Linked DNA regions of Drosophila melanogaster. Changing the gene in region 2 together with the main gene of any one other region gives a genetic interaction. Each region holds a gene or a part of one and is shown on either strand. Other genes may lie near its edges.

Evidence for each region.
Region 1: of Pcf11 (region 2) and w, changing one suppresses a phenotype caused by changing the other (phenotypic suppression), as found in Drosophila melanogaster (4 studies listed by BioGRID).
Region 3: of Pcf11 (region 2) and tut, changing one enhances a phenotype caused by changing the other (phenotypic enhancement), as found in Drosophila melanogaster (one study listed by BioGRID).

What each region holds. Positions count from the first base shown.
Region 1 is NC_004354.4:2,790,464-2,798,204, reverse strand, and holds w (white), read left to right. Parts: upstream 1-1,738; 5' UTR 1,739-1,896; coding exon 1,897-1,968; intron 1,969-5,076; coding exon 5,077-5,350; intron 5,351-5,424; coding exon 5,425-6,079; intron 6,080-6,140; coding exon 6,141-6,456; intron 6,457-6,659; coding exon 6,660-6,791; intron 6,792-6,861; coding exon 6,862-7,476; 3' UTR 7,477-7,606; downstream 7,607-7,741. UniProt on the Drosophila melanogaster protein: ATP-dependent transporter of the ATP-binding cassette (ABC) family which transports various molecules including bioamines, neurotransmitters, metabolic intermediates and second messengers.
Region 2 is NT_033778.4:14,868,039-14,872,909, reverse strand, and holds the start of Pcf11 (Pcf11 cleavage and polyadenylation factor subunit), read left to right. Parts: upstream 1-1,838; 5' UTR 1,839-1,990; intron 1,991-2,597; 5' UTR 2,598-2,678; coding exon 2,679-2,861; coding exon of another isoform or gene 2,862-2,939; exon of another isoform or gene 2,940-3,264; intron 3,265-3,877; coding exon 3,878-4,003; intron 4,004-4,066; coding exon 4,067-4,282; intron 4,283-4,347; coding exon 4,348-4,677; intron 4,678-4,738; coding exon 4,739-4,871. Other genes in the region: Cyp6a22 (cytochrome P450 6a22), read right to left, coding at 42-1,107.
Region 3 is NT_037436.4:8,209,074-8,212,600, forward strand, and holds tut (tumorous testis), read right to left. Parts: upstream 1,671-3,527; 5' UTR 1,599-1,670; coding exon 1,485-1,598; intron 1,419-1,484; coding exon 1,240-1,418; intron 1,185-1,239; coding exon 785-1,184; 3' UTR 504-784; downstream 1-503. Other genes in the region: CG8006 (uncharacterized protein), read left to right, coding at 2,892-3,527. UniProt on the Drosophila melanogaster protein: RNA binding protein that forms a complex with bam and bgcn, involved in 3'UTR-dependent regulation of a subset of mRNAs. Preferentially binds a long isoform of mei-P26 transcripts.

The DNA.
Region 1 (7,741 bases), on a different chromosome or scaffold from region 2:
AGAGTATAAAAGTGTGTGTTGAAAAAAACTTTCTACGCCTCAGTTCAAGTTACTTCCTTTTCGCTTTTCAATACGGTGTTATTGCATTGCATTGTGGAATAGCAAACCAATTTAAAGAATCCCAAAGGTAGGGCAAAAAAAAATGTTCAATTGCAGGGCTAATAAGCAAAAATCAAGTTAAGGCCACTCTAAAAAAAATGAACTGCATACTTATACGTATGCAATTAACTTTATTATTGATTTAGAGCGCATAAAAACGGCAAACTAATTAATTACAGCATTCCCTTAGAGCATTTCATAATCGGTTTTAAGCACTTTTTGTTGTAATGCCATTTTTCAGCTCTTTCGCTGCTGCGACAGGCGAGTGACAATAAATTGTTAAGTGCAAAAAGTTTACAGCATTTGAGTGAGTTAGTAATGGCAAACACACACGAACACGAACTTCAAGACGGTCTAAACCCGATTCGAGCTCCACTCAACCAACATCGAAGAAGCCCCATAAGTGTCACTGAGCGAAAAACTCGGTTAGTTGGCAAAAATGAGTGAAACATTGACGTTTCTTTGTTGTCTGTCGCTAGATCGGCCCACAAAGGAAGTCTCTTACGAATCGTACATACATCTAACTTTGAGTCAGCTAAAGATCTTCAGTGAAATAGGAAAATCATTTATTTCGAACTTTGAAGCTGTTGTAGAGCAGAACATATATGCATTAAAACTGGCACATGAAATAATGTTACTAGTGCTGAGTGAGACTTCTACAAATATCACATGCATATGCATAATTAACTTGCAAATCGAATCAAAAGCTATTATTCTGAGCTAAACTCTCAAAAGAAAACCATATTCATTTGAAGACCACTTAATCGTCGTCAGCAAATTAATTCCTGCAGATTCCTCGGCAACTGCAACTGCTAACCTGTTACCACATCGTCCGTGAAAATGGTATTGATAGCCTCCCGGAAAACCCGTCCCAGTCGAGATCCATATCCTGGACCAACTGGCCCCGATGATGAAGATTGATAATGCCCGGACAGCTGATGGCGGCAGTTCATGATTCCGGGGCCTGAGATGAGGTGCTAACGATGACGACAACGACCGGAGTGTCCGAAGTACGGGTGCGGATAGGCGTACGGGAAACGGGGAGTGCGGAATGCGCATCATCAACAGTCGCCGTTTGATAAATCATGCATGCAAAGTACAGTGCAAACCCCCGAAACGGGACGACAACAGGCGGATTAACAAGAACTCTCTTATTCACGATAAGAAGACGCTTCCCACTCAACCTAATCAGTATTCAAAGACAGCCACTCAGCTTATGAGTACTGCCCAGGTGGGGTACTATCATATTGGTGCAAAGGTGGTCGAATTTTTAATTATTTTGAACGGAACACATTAGCTAAACATAAACATGTTGTCACTAGTATGTATGTAAGTTAATAAAACCCATTTTTGCGGAAAGTAGATAAAAAAAACATTTTTTTTTTTTACTGCACTGGATATCATTGAACTTATCTGATCAGTTTTAAATTTACTTCGATCCAAGGGTATTTGATGTACCAGGTTCTTTCGATTACCTCTCACTCAAAATGACATTCCACTCAAAGTCAGCGCTGTTTGCCTCCTTCTCTGTCCACAGAAATATCGCCGTCTCTTTCGCCGCTGCGTCCGCTATCTCTTTCGCCACCGTTTGTAGCGTTACGTAGCGTCAATGTCCGCCTTCAGTTGCATTTTGTCAGCGGTTTCGTGACGAAGCTCCAAGCGGTTTACGCCATCAATTAAACACAAAGTGCTGTGCCAAAACTCCTCTCGCTTCTTATTTTTGTTTGTTTTTTGAGTGATTGGGGTGGTGATTGGTTTTGGGTGGGTAAGCAGGGGAAAGTGTGAAAAATCCCGGCAATGGGCCAAGAGGATCAGGAGCTATTAATTCGCGGAGGCAGCAAACACCCATCTGCCGAGCATCTGAACAATGTGAGTAGTACATGTGCATACATCTTAAGTTCACTTGATCTATAGGAACTGCGATTGCAACATCAAATTGTCTGCGGCGTGAGAACTGCGACCCACAAAAATCCCAAACCGCAATTGCACAAACAAATAGTGACACGAAACAGATTATTCTGGTAGCTGTTCTCGCTATATAAGACAATTTTTGAGATCATATCATGATCAAGACATCTAAAGGCATTCATTTTCGACTATATTCTTTTTTACAAAAAATATAACAACCAGATATTTTAAGCTTACCATGAAGTCCTCATTTCTTCCACCTTTCATTCTCAAATATTTTCTTGCTACACTACACTACACTACACTACATTATACATCGACCCCAAATAGTTGGATGTAGTAGATCGTAATTAGGGACGCATAACCAGTGGTGGCGTGGGAGGAGTCGGCTTAAGTTGGCCAACAACATTGCTGGGTGTCTATAACTCTAGGCTTGCCAAGATACTAGATACTGTATCCGTATCCATTTCTGGTTGTGTACTCGCATCTTCTACCTGATCTTAATACCTCGTTGTTTGCACGTCTCGCTCGACGAAAAATGTACAATCTAGTCTTATCTGGGTCATTATTTGGCTAGACGAATGCTTTGGGCTCAGCATCTGATATCTAGGTATCTTCGTGCGTATCTTGCTTTAAATTCTTAGCACCTCGGCTTGTATAACAAAATAAATAAGTGAGTACGATTTGCATATCTAGCCCCGGGCTCTTTGAAACAATTTTGAAAAGTCTCAAAAAGTTATACAAGGAGATAAGAACTTTAATTCTTTTGGGAAGTAAGTAACGCAGTAAAGGTAACAAAGTATTGAAAAATATGATATGTATGGAATATTTGAAGCCATCTTTAATTATATGTTCGTTGCATATATGTACATATTGGGCCGTTTACGCTCTGATATTTCCTTAATAATATCGAGTGGTCGTCAGCTTTTCCGCTGAATAATTGCGCCTCCTTCAGTATTTCGTTCTCATCAAAGTGAATGACTTTTGAGTGCACTCATTAGCCACTCGCACAATCGACAAAACGGGAGGAACAACAAATTGAGTCGCTTCTTTATTCAGTCATTTCAATTTGTCAAGTTCATCACGATACTCCTTCGCCTCCCTGCACAGCGCCATCTAGCGCCCACTCCTCGAGTTTCCTTCGTATTTCGTAAGTAATTCAAAAATAGCACGCAAAGTAAATAAAAAAAAAAGTAAGCCAAAAAATTAAATAAATATGAAATGTAGCATCTTTCGCTACTTATTTCAACAAAATACGAAAATAGGGAAAAGGTGGGAGAGTAAACCAGAGGAGGCAGGGAGATAAGAAAACCCAGTGGGAAAGGGACGGCGAAAACAGAAAAGAAAAGAAAACTTTTTAATAACATTTTTCGGCCTCATTTGTTGTGAAAACAATTTCGCCATGTCCCTCTATCTCTTTCCCAGCCATATGGCCATCTCGCTCTGCTCGAGGAGTGCCTGAAAACGGATATTACATTTTTTCGCGTCTACCTCTCGTAACGTCACCAATTGTGCTTTTTTTTTGGTAACAGGCCAAAAACTGGACACTGAGTGGCTAGAAGAATAAGCTGTCAAAGCATCGCAGCAGAAGATGAGCAGTGAAGCCTCGCTAAGGAGGAAATGCAACAGTTTTCAGGCTTTGGTCTTTTAGCTAGATTTTATATGTAGCAATGTAAACGATAAATCCAAATCCCCCAATCGTTTTGAAAAATAAATTTAATTTTAAATAGTTCAAAAAATGAAAGTTCTTAGCAGGGCTCACTGTAGCAAGGACCGCCAGGCGCTGAGTGCAAGGTGGACATTATTTTTTCTTGCTTTTATTGAATGTCAGCTTTTTATTTGGCCCTCTTCTTCGGATTTTGCCTTTCTCATTTGCTTGCATTTTTTTGCTTAATTTTTTTTATGATTATTTATACAAATTATTATGAGAGCAGCGGCGGATAAAATGCTTTCCATATTGTGGCCATCATTTTGTCTTGTTTTTTCCATTTTTTTTTTTTTTTGCCTCGACGCCAATTAGTGGATCCCTGTTATTTATGCTTTGCCGCAGGCCGCTGCGATGGCAAGAAACCCCACAAATGGAAAACGGAAAATTGTTTATGAAAATGAAAATATGCGCGAACGGAAGTGGTATGGGGCGAAAAGTTGGGGCGGGGAGGATGGCTTGATTTGACCATACCGCAAACGTCTTCGGTTACCGCCATTTCGAAAAGGGAAGCCCCACCTGGGCGAAAACTGACAGCTCAGTGGTTTTGGAAATCACTTTACCCGTAAACAAAATAACGTAAATAAGAATTTGTATTTCGGATTTATAAACTTAAACTCAATTGCAGAAGTAGTAGTTTGAACACTATTGCGTTCAACATAATTGGATCAAGTAAATGGACTGCTTTATACTGCTCATTGCACTTATCTACAAGAGATTGAGTTTTCCCACCACCCAAAAAAAGCCAAAGTATCCTTAAAGTTTTATATTTAATAAAAACAAAACTGGCGAAGCTCAAAGTCCCCAAACGAAAGCCAAAGATGCCAGCGATTTACACTCGCAATTGTCTTATGAGGTGGCAACATGGTGGAGGAACCTTGCCACTGCCACCACCCATCGTCCCATCGCCCCATCGTCCATCGCCCAACGACCTGTGACCCCGTCAACCGTCCACCGCCCACTTTCAAGGCCATCCACCAAGTGCCAGCCCTAATTTGCACATTTTAAATAGGCCTCGCCATCTCCTTTTTGGGAAACTTGGAAAACTCGGATCTTGGGCATTTTTATTAAACAGATGGGCTCCTTCTTTATAAAGCCGAGGGGGGGGGGGGGGGTTAGTGCCCGGAAACAGGGACGGCGGAGCAGGGATTGGCCAGGCTGGGCTAGATTTATGCACAGACGCCTTCATTTTTATGGACGAACGCCGTGAAATTGAAAAGTTTTCAGCTTGAAACCTTTTCTAGATGCACAAAAAATAAATAAAAGTATAAACCTACTTCGTAGGATACTTCGGGGTACTTTTTGTTCGGGGTTAGATGAGCATAACGCTTGTAGTTGATATTTGAGATCCCCTATCATTGCAGGGTGACAGCGGAGCGGCTTCGCAGAGCTGCATTAACCAGGGCTTCGGGCAGGCCAAAAACTACGGCACGCTCCGGCCACCCAGTCCGCCGGAGGACTCCGGTTCAGGGAGCGGCCAACTAGCCGAGAACCTCACCTATGCCTGGCACAATATGGACATCTTTGGGGCGGTCAATCAGCCGGGCTCCGGATGGCGGCAGCTGGTCAACCGGACACGCGGACTATTCTGCAACGAGCGACACATACCGGCGCCCAGGAAACATTTGCTCAAGAACGGTGAGTTTCTATTCGCAGTCGGCTGATCTGTGTGAAATCTTAATAAAGGGTCCAATTACCAATTTGAAACTCAGTTTGCGGCGTGGCCTATCCGGGCGAACTTTTGGCCGTGATGGGCAGTTCCGGTGCCGGAAAGACGACCCTGCTGAATGCCCTTGCCTTTCGATCGCCGCAGGGCATCCAAGTATCGCCATCCGGGATGCGACTGCTCAATGGCCAACCTGTGGACGCCAAGGAGATGCAGGCCAGGTGCGCCTATGTCCAGCAGGATGACCTCTTTATCGGCTCCCTAACGGCCAGGGAACACCTGATTTTCCAAGCCATGGTGCGGATGCCACGACATCTGACCTATCGGCAGCGAGTGGCCCGCGTGGATCAGGTGATCCAGGAGCTTTCGCTCAGCAAATGTCAGCACACGATCATCGGTGTGCCCGGCAGGGTGAAAGGTCTGTCCGGCGGAGAAAGGAAGCGTCTGGCATTCGCCTCCGAGGCTCTAACCGATCCGCCGCTTCTGATCTGCGATGAGCCCACCTCCGGACTGGACTCCTTTACCGCCCACAGCGTCGTCCAGGTGCTGAAGAAGCTGTCGCAGAAGGGCAAGACCGTCATCCTGACCATTCATCAGCCGTCTTCCGAGCTGTTTGAGCTCTTTGACAAGATCCTTCTGATGGCCGAGGGCAGGGTAGCTTTCTTGGGCACTCCCAGCGAAGCCGTCGACTTCTTTTCCTAGTGAGTTCGATGTGTTTATTAAGGGTATCTAGTATTACATAACATCTCAACTCCTATCCAGCGTGGGTGCCCAGTGTCCTACCAACTACAATCCGGCGGACTTTTACGTACAGGTGTTGGCCGTTGTGCCCGGACGGGAGATCGAGTCCCGTGATCGGATCGCCAAGATATGCGACAATTTTGCCATTAGCAAAGTAGCCCGGGATATGGAGCAGTTGTTGGCCACCAAAAATCTGGAGAAGCCACTGGAGCAGCCGGAGAATGGGTACACCTACAAGGCCACCTGGTTCATGCAGTTCCGGGCGGTCCTGTGGCGATCCTGGCTGTCGGTGCTCAAGGAACCACTCCTCGTAAAAGTGCGACTTATTCAGACAACGGTGAGTGGTTCCAGTGGAAACAAATGATATAACGCTTACAATTCTTGGAAACAAATTCGCTAGATTTTAGATAGAATTGCCTGATTCCACACCCTTCTTAGTTTTTTTCAATGAGATGTATAGTTTATAGTTTTGCAGAAGATAAATAAATTTCATTTAACTCGCGAATATTAATGAGATGCGAGTAACATTTTAATTTGCAGATGGTTGCCATCTTGATTGGCCTCATCTTTTTGGGCCAACAACTCACGCAAGTGGGTGTGATGAATATCAACGGAGCCATCTTCCTCTTCCTGACCAACATGACCTTTCAAAACGTCTTTGCCACGATAAATGTAAGTCATGTTTAGAATACATTTGCATTTCAATAATTTACTAACTTTCTAATGAATCGATTCGATTTAGGTGTTCACCTCAGAGCTGCCAGTTTTTATGAGGGAGGCCCGAAGTCGACTTTATCGCTGTGACACATACTTTCTGGGCAAAACGATTGCCGAATTGCCGCTTTTTCTCACAGTGCCACTGGTCTTCACGGCGATTGCCTATCCGATGATCGGACTGCGGGCCGGAGTGCTGCACTTCTTCAACTGCCTGGCGCTGGTCACTCTGGTGGCCAATGTGTCAACGTCCTTCGGATATCTAATATCCTGCGCCAGCTCCTCGACCTCGATGGCGCTGTCTGTGGGTCCGCCGGTTATCATACCATTCCTGCTCTTTGGCGGCTTCTTCTTGAACTCGGGCTCGGTGCCAGTATACCTCAAATGGTTGTCGTACCTCTCATGGTTCCGTTACGCCAACGAGGGTCTGCTGATTAACCAATGGGCGGACGTGGAGCCGGGCGAAATTAGCTGCACATCGTCGAACACCACGTGCCCCAGTTCGGGCAAGGTCATCCTGGAGACGCTTAACTTCTCCGCCGCCGATCTGCCGCTGGACTACGTGGGTCTGGCCATTCTCATCGTGAGCTTCCGGGTGCTCGCATATCTGGCTCTAAGACTTCGGGCCCGACGCAAGGAGTAGCCGACATATATCCGAAATAACTGCTTGTTTTTTTTTTTACCATTATTACCATCGTGTTTACTGTTTATTGCCCCCTCAAAAAGCTAATGTAATTATATTTGTGCCAATAAAAACAAGATATGACCTATAGAATACAAGTATTTCCCCTTCGAACATCCCCACAAGTAGACTTTGGATTTGTCTTCTAACCAAAAGACTTACACACCTGCATACCTTACATCAAAAACTCGTTTATCGCTACATAAAACACCGGGATATATTTTTT
Region 2 (4,871 bases):
CATCTTTGTAATATTTAAAATTCGTTTTGAGTCGGGCTCACCTGCTATGACCAGTTCCATGTACCGCAGCTCCTGCATGGAATCATATGTGAATTCACCGTTGTGTAACCGCAGAGCCTGGTCGATTTCCTCGCGTAGCTTTGCCTGCAGTGCCGGCTGCTTGGCCAACTCGTACAGGGCAAATCCTAGCGTTGATGCGGATGTGTCGAATCCCGCCGCAAAGAATATAAATGCCTGGGCGGCCATTTCCTCGATGGTGAGCTCACCGCGCTGCTTCATTTCGATCAGCAGGTTCATGAAGTCGCTCCTCACGATGCCCTGCTCCTCCCTCTGCTTCACAGTTTCCCGAACGATGCCCACATAGAAATCCGTAATGTCTTGATGGATTTGGCGCATGCGCAGAAACCTGGCCACTTCGGGGAAACTCTCTATAAATCCATCGACCAGCTTGCAGTGGCGACGCTCTGAAAAGGCTCTCCTGCCCATTATGGCGAACTCCGCCTCGGGATTCCGGAGGCCGTTGCATTCCACGCCAAAGGCACACCGTCCTATCACGTCCGAAGTGTAGCGAGCCATCAGATCACCGATCTCGAGGATTCCACACATGGCATTATCCGCCAACTCGCCACAAACTTGAGTAAGTTCCTCGCCCACCTCGCAGACCGTCGGAAACATATACTTCATCTTAGCTGAGGTAAAGGTGGGGGACATTTTCTGGCGCAAGGGTCGCCACTTGGGCCCGTCAATGCGGAATAGATGCCCAGTTAGAGGATCATCCCGCTCATTGTGATACATTCCCCGATCCTCAAAGTTGGCGAAGTCCTGTATGAGGATCTGTTTGGCCAGTTCCAGATCTGTGACCAAGACCACAGGTCTCAACATCATAAAAAATCCGGCAAAGGGTGCTCCATTGCCCTTGAACTTCTCATAGATTGGCGTTACAATGTCGATGAAATGTTTGTTTTTCCGAAATCCCTCCATATTCCCCACGGGAAACCGGGCCGGCTCACTGCCAATGCCCCGCCGGGTCCAGTAGCTATATCTCGTCCGCACGAACCAGAAGCCCACTGCCAGGGCAATAAGCAGTAGAGCCACTACATCCAGCATCCTCTCCCCGAATAGATTCACTATGAACTGAACACTGGACCAACGCCTCTATTCGCTCCGCTTACAATCAGCTGCAGTAGTGTAAACAGACCTAGGCAGATAACCTCGTCTCATAGAATTTAGGCGCACTGAAAACAAATCGAACTGAAGCTCGGACTTGACGAGCTTTTAACGGTGATTCAAGTTAATGCAATTGATATAGTGAGAGATAACTGTAGAACACCCGCCTTGAAGAAAAAGTCTATGCAATATATGCATTTATTCTCTGCTTACTATATGAGCGTAATTAAAAGTATGATAAGAATTTTGCATTTCTTATCTGTTTTTTTTCTTTCTTTTTTTATCTGATCTAATATCAGACTTATTATATAGTCTTCTTGAACTTCTCGACTATCAGATACCCGTTACTTGGCTAGAAGAAATGAAGTTAAAGAAACAATACTAATTTTCGGATCGCCCACTACCGCCACCTGGTGGTATATTAATTCAATTGGCAACGCCTATAAAATTAAATAGTGCATATTGCATTAAAACTAAATAAATAAAACACTTCTAACATTAATTTCTTTTTTAATTAGTTATACTGCAATTTTAAAGGCACTTTAAAATTTAACATTTCTAGTGGTTGGCAACGCGGTTTAATGCAAAAAATACCTTAATGGTATATTTTTAGTATATTTCCTTAAATAAAAATTGTATAAAATGTATAATTTCCATTTCACGTCGACGGCCACACTTTTAAGTGTAAGTCATCAAAAATACATCGCAGTTGTTACGTGAGAGTTTTCAAAAGCTAATTTTTATATAGTAGCAGTGCTTTTGTGAAATTTTTTCCTCGCAAAAGTGTCTGGCAGTGATTGTACAAATGTATTAGCTTAAAAAGGTATGTTTTTAAATGTTCTGCAGCGCGAAAAAGTAAATTGAAGTCGAACTGATAACTCGCGTGTGTATGTAGTGGTAACACAAACGTGGCTTTGTCTGGGAAAATCTCCGTTAAATCAATTTAAGCAACGAGATAGTTTCACTAAAACGTAAATATTTCGTGAAAGCGTGAAATGCGATGTACAGAAAGGAAAAACAAGCACTTTATTGGTTAATTTATTCGGGCAGGCCACACATGCGAAAATATGCTCATGGCCGCCATATTGAATTTTCGTCGTCATTCCGTACGTGTGTGTGTGTATATATGTAAGAGATTACCTTGTGTTTGTGGACGCGCGTGATTGTTTACGTCTGGTACGAATTACATACATAGATACGCTGTATACAGGATTATCTATCCACATAGTGCAGCCTAAGATTTCAGTGCATCACGGTTTATTACAAATAAAATGGGCAGAGATGAAGATATCGCTAACAAACATCGCAACCTTAATACATTATTCATCCAAAATATCCCGACAAAATCCCATTAATAGTGCAAACTTTTTCACACAAATTACCTTTGCTTTTCATGTCATTTAATTACTTTGTTATATTTTCCCTTGCAGTCGAAACATAGCAACTGCGACTACTTCAAACCAAATAACTTGATCAATATCCGGATCAAGATCTGGAATACAGAGTCCACAATGGAGCAGCTATTTCAGAATTACCGCGACGATGAGCGAAGGATCGGCGAGGAGTATCTGTCAAGTCTCCAGGACCTCAACTGCAACAGCAAGCCATTGATCAATATGCTCACGATGCTTGCCGAGGAGAACATCAACTACGCCCACATCATAGTTAAAGTGGTGGAATATTACATCAGCCAGGTTAACAAAACAAAAGCGTATTTACTTAAAAACAAAGACACTCCAGCTTACACACAGCTAATAGACGGTCGACACTAAAAGTGATTCTCCATATCGAAATTGTGATAGAATGTGCAGTTTATTGATTGCGGTTGCCCTTTGATTGCAGAGAAACCCAACGAAGGCCACACATATGCGTTTCTAAGACTCGGTTCTTTCAGTTGGGTTTTTCTGCAAACTCTTGGGCACAAATGGTAGATAGGTTCCTAATAATCTTAGTATATATCTCATAATTTGGGTTATAAACCGTGACTGATTTTAATCATCTACAAAGGTAAGAAGTTTAACCAACCTGCTCCTCGTTTCTTATTTCTTTCTACTTTGGATCCCAGAGTTTAAAGCTAAGGAATAACAAACAACCTTTAAAAAAATATTGAAAAATAAATAAAAAGAGAAAATGCTTAAACAATTGTCACCAAGTTGTCTTTTATTTTATACAAAAACTTTGACTGCTTACAATCAATATAAAAAAAATTGATGTGCAGCAATTTTTGTATTACAAAAAGAAAAGTGCAAGTTTTCGTAAAAGTAAAAAAAACTGCAGCCAAACAAAAACAAATGTCCATAATACGTAAGAGTAGTAAAAGCCTTTGTTTCTGCCACATTGTCACTGCGATTTTCATTCATATTCACTCGGCTAAGGGAACAGACCGCTAACATCATACGCCAACACTGTAACCCTTAATGTTTGGAGATCCTTAGACACCGCGTTTCCTCATTCAACACCCAATGCTTAGGAAAATATTTCTCTGTAGGCTAGGATATTGTTTGAGTTCGACCGCCTTGGCATGAAGGCACCCACCACCAGCAGATGAGGATGATGACTTCGGTGGACGATCGCTGACCCTGCTCTTGTGTTGTCCATCGGCCTGTCTCATTAGTTTTCTTCCAACCTATCCGTTTGAATCTCCGCTAGCGACGTTCCGTAGACACTTATTCTTCTTTATTTCTTACCTATTTTACTAAACTTCTAACAGGTGGCGCCCGAATTTAAATTGCCCATACTATATTTAATTGATTCGATAGTAAAGAATGTGAAAAGCAGCTACGTCCAATTGTTTGGACAGTGCATAGTCAACATATTCCTCCACGCCTTCGAATCGGTAAGCGAAATCATTTTCTTAATGTCAATCCAATGGTTCATTAATGTTATTTCAATCCTGCAGGTCCAGCACTCACAGTCGCAGGTTTTGGAAAAGGTGCGGGAACGCATGTATGCCCTGCGTCAGACCTGGAACGAGGTGTTCCCGCCATCCAAGATGTACGCGCTGGACGTTAAGGTGAAGCGCCTAGATAACAACTGGCCCATTACTGCCAAACAGCCAACTAACAAAATTCACGTCAATCCGGCCATTCATGTTAATCCGGATTTCTTAAAACCGGTAAGTGCCCCAAATAACTATTAATCCCTTTAGTTAGACCAATGTATCCATTCAATTGTAAAAAGGGTTTGGTTCCTGGGATGCCTGGTAACCCCACAATCACCAGCGACATGGAGGAGATTTTGCAAGCAAAAACTCGTGAGTTGCTGGAGCTCAAGAAGCGCAAACTGGAACTGGAGCTGGAGCAAACCAAAAAGCATTTAGAGGAGCAGGAGCGTCAGCTGACCCAAACCACGGACGCGATGGTTGGAGCACCGATTATTATGCCTGCTCCCACTCCAGCAGCAATTTGTCCGCCAATCACGGATCCCGGTATAGCAGTGCATAATCAACGAGCTCCAGGAGTAATGGGCAATGTTGGTCCCGTAATGCATAACATGCCAGTGGCTCCGCAGGTAAATTGTGAAATATGATGGTGGAAGCTATAAAAAATCTAATTCAACTATGGAATTACAGCTTTTTGCGAATAAACCAAAAGTCCATCCTGTCAATCCGGCACTGTTGAACTCGGTGCGCCAACGAGATCCGAGACTAGCCCGCCAGATGCATGCGGCATCCTCACATCCAGCTGCGCCGGCACGAAACGATC
Region 3 (3,527 bases), on a different chromosome or scaffold from region 2:
TGTCCAACACAATGCCAGCCGGAGGCTAGCGTCGACTCCTGCTCGCTGCACTCATTTAATTGCATTATGCCGCAGGTTGTCGCATTGCCCTGAAAGTCCTGGCTGCCACTCCGCCACTCCAAAGACACTGCATTAATTTGCATGTGAAAAACTGCAGCTTCGCTGCGCTGTCGGTGTTGTTTTTTTTATTTTTTTTTATTTTTATGGCTGCTCGCTGTTTTTGCCCAGAGTTAATGAAGTCAACAAGCTGCGGCTGCATTTCATCAGAGTGAGAAGCGGCGGGCCAAAAGGATTTGCCAGGAACAATGCTGTGTATAATTTCCCCCTGTCCTAACAACTGGTGAAAGTTTATGTTACATTCGCATGGGCAGCAACATAATTTACTGCCCAGAGAGCCACAGGAATTCCAAAATCCGCTTGGTTAGTTTTTTTTTAAGGTATAGTATGCATTCTAAAAGTGATTTGATATTTGGCTTTAAAATTTCATTAAAAAATCAGAGATTAACTTTGCAAAACACATATTCTTGTTTTCAAATTCCACGTATTACAAAAACTTACACAAATCAAGCAATAAACATCTTCATTCATATCTAAATGGTTGACTTATTTAAGAGTACTCTTATTTTACTTATAAACTTATTTAACAATAGAAAAAATATAACTAAAGTATTAAAGTATTTTATACATTTTCGTCCTACTTACGTGTAGTACAAACAAAACATTTGGAGCCTTATGGATTTGGTAGCATGAACCAATAAAGTAACATACTTGATACCACTTCCATTTAAAACTTGAAACAGCCCTTTTGTCTGGGAGGAACGCGTCGAGTACGATTTTGGCTTACTTCCCGTTGAAAACAGAAGCTACCGCTGGCTCTGCTCAAGATGTTCTCCGCAGTCAACCAGGAGATGTGCGCATGCTCACCGAATTTTCTGATCGAATTCCTTACTCTCTGATGGGCACTTGCGGCCGAGTCGTTGTTGCGGTACTCAAATATATAGAAGAACTGGTCTAATTGATACTCGTAGACTCGAACGATGGTAAAGGGATGTATCTTCAACATCTCCTGGTACACTTGCCATGGTCTAAGCGACGATTCTACGTTTTTGAGCACCAGCTCGCGATTGTTGGTCGATGGCTCCACCCTTAAGCACATGCAAAGCTGTCGGAATCGCATTGGCAGACTGGGATTATTAGGGTTAGTGCTGTTTTATGTGAAAATTATTACGAAGTACGTACTATTGCATTGCCGATTCCTTGAGGTCCACATTGATATATTGCAAGTAGGCGTAGCCGCGAGAATTTCCCGAAAAATCAATCTTATAGCGCATAATGTAAACTTCACCCAGTTCGCTGGCCACTTCCACAATCCACCGCGGAGAACAACTGTGATTCCTCGGTATACACGAGAGAAACAGCTAGAAGCAAAAACGTATTAGTGTCTCCGTAAACTTTTGAGACTAGATGCTTCACTAGACACTCACCTCGCCCTTTCCCTCATCCAGTAAGGATTTTAGATTTTCATCAAGGACTTTGCGCGTAGTTATGGTAATAGTGCCATTTACTTGACTGGTGCAGTATTTGCTCTCGAAATCCATTTTAAAAATAGCAAAAAAAAAAAAATACACAGCATACACGCGTGCATCAAAAAAAAAAAAAAAAGCTAAGATGCCAATGATTTAGTGTGACCAAATAAGCTTTAAAACATACAACGCTCGCGACGTTGCCAGATAGTCAATGAAGTTGGTAAAATTCTTTATACTTAACACTTAGGTAAAGTAACGGAGGGGCATAAACTTATTATTGTTTATGAACTTGTTTGAATGTTTAACATTTGTGTAAAATAGAGAGTGTTTTCATATTATATTTTTGCGTAAGAGGTCTTTTTTTGGCATTGCTGCGAACTCAGCTCTATACGAAGGTATTCTATTTTTGCTATGTACTTTATGCATTTACTTTACTCTTTTTCCAAACCGCTTTTTGCATGTCAGGCAATTTCTTTGCTCTTTATTTTTGCTTTCTTTTGACAGGCTGCGCGTGCTTTTTTCTAGCTCATGTTTAACAATATAAATTTATGCAGGCAGTCGGTCGTTTGCAACTTTTGCTCACAGTTCGCCACAAGCCGCAGCACCTATGTATGTATGTATGTAGGTTCGCATCGCATTCGCTGTTGTTGTTGCTGCGGTTAAGCCGCCCATCCGCCACCCACTCCACCACCCACTCACCCCACCAGGGGGCATCTTGATGGAGGTTGCGGTGCACTCAAGTGCCTGCTGCCGCTGCTGCTGCTTCATTTTCCTAATTTATACGCGCGCTGCGCTAATGAAAATTTACGTGGCAACCGCATACTGTTTTGTTGCTACTGCTGTTACACTAATAATTCATTGTTTCGAAATGGCCATAAGCAAATTACTGACATTAAACTATTTGTGGGAGGTAACATGTTGTTAGATTAATACACAACAGTTTTCTTAAATGAAGTGGTAAATGCAAAAGCTATCACTGTGAAGTCCAGTTTAGTCCACGTAGTGTAGAGACGCACCAGGTAAGAGTGTTTCGACAAGAAAATCCATTAAGTTCTTTGAAAAGTAAGCTCTGATATTCTTTGTTTAAAGTGTAGTGTCGCTGCTCCTTGTGCTTGTTGCCAGACGTGGGCCCACCACTTGAAGCATCTCTGAGAAACCCTGAGCTCCACTTTTGACCCCCCTCCCCTTTCTGCGGTTGAGAGACGTTTGGTGACAGTCGCCGAGTAAGGCCACTAGTCCCACTTATATTTCCGCATTTCCTTACCCGATTTGAGTAAGCGGTTTCATTTTATTCAAATCATTAAAATTACAAATATTTTTTGGGAACAAAATCAGTTGATTCCGGTTGAATATGCGAATGTGGCCATGAAGGATCTAAGCGAGGAGTTACTGGATCGCCATTTCAGGCAGCAGCTAGCCAGTTACAAGTATGCCGATCAGGCAAGGGCTAAGCAGTCGGATCGCCCCATCATGGCCAGATGGATAAAGATATTCGAGAAGGCTCCTCTCAGCGAGAAGTTGGCCCGAAATAGCCTGATGCTGCTCATGCATGGCCACTTGAAGGACTTTGGAGTGCTCAAGGAACCGTTCACGGATGTGCGTAACTACAGTAGGAATCTGAACGTAATTTTGGATGAGTACAGAGGCCAGCCATGTAAGAAGTTAGCTACTGGCAAATCACCTACACTGCTCAAGAAGTGCTCGACTCAAATTTTACGACCCAGGAAACTGGAACCCATCAAGGAGGTTTCCGAACAATCGGAAAATGATCCTACGACCAGTAGTTTTGCCAGCATTGTGACAATAATACGAAAAACAAATACGCGATCCTCTGACTCGAAGGATAGCCAAGTTTATCCAAGGACTGGCTTCGAGTCCCCAAATGGTGCTGATAGTCACACTGTGAAGAAGAGAGTCGAACTATTGGAGTATGAGCTCTCGAGAAATAAGCAGCATCCATCGAGCTCCACATTCAATCGGGATGCACCTGACAGCGGAAGA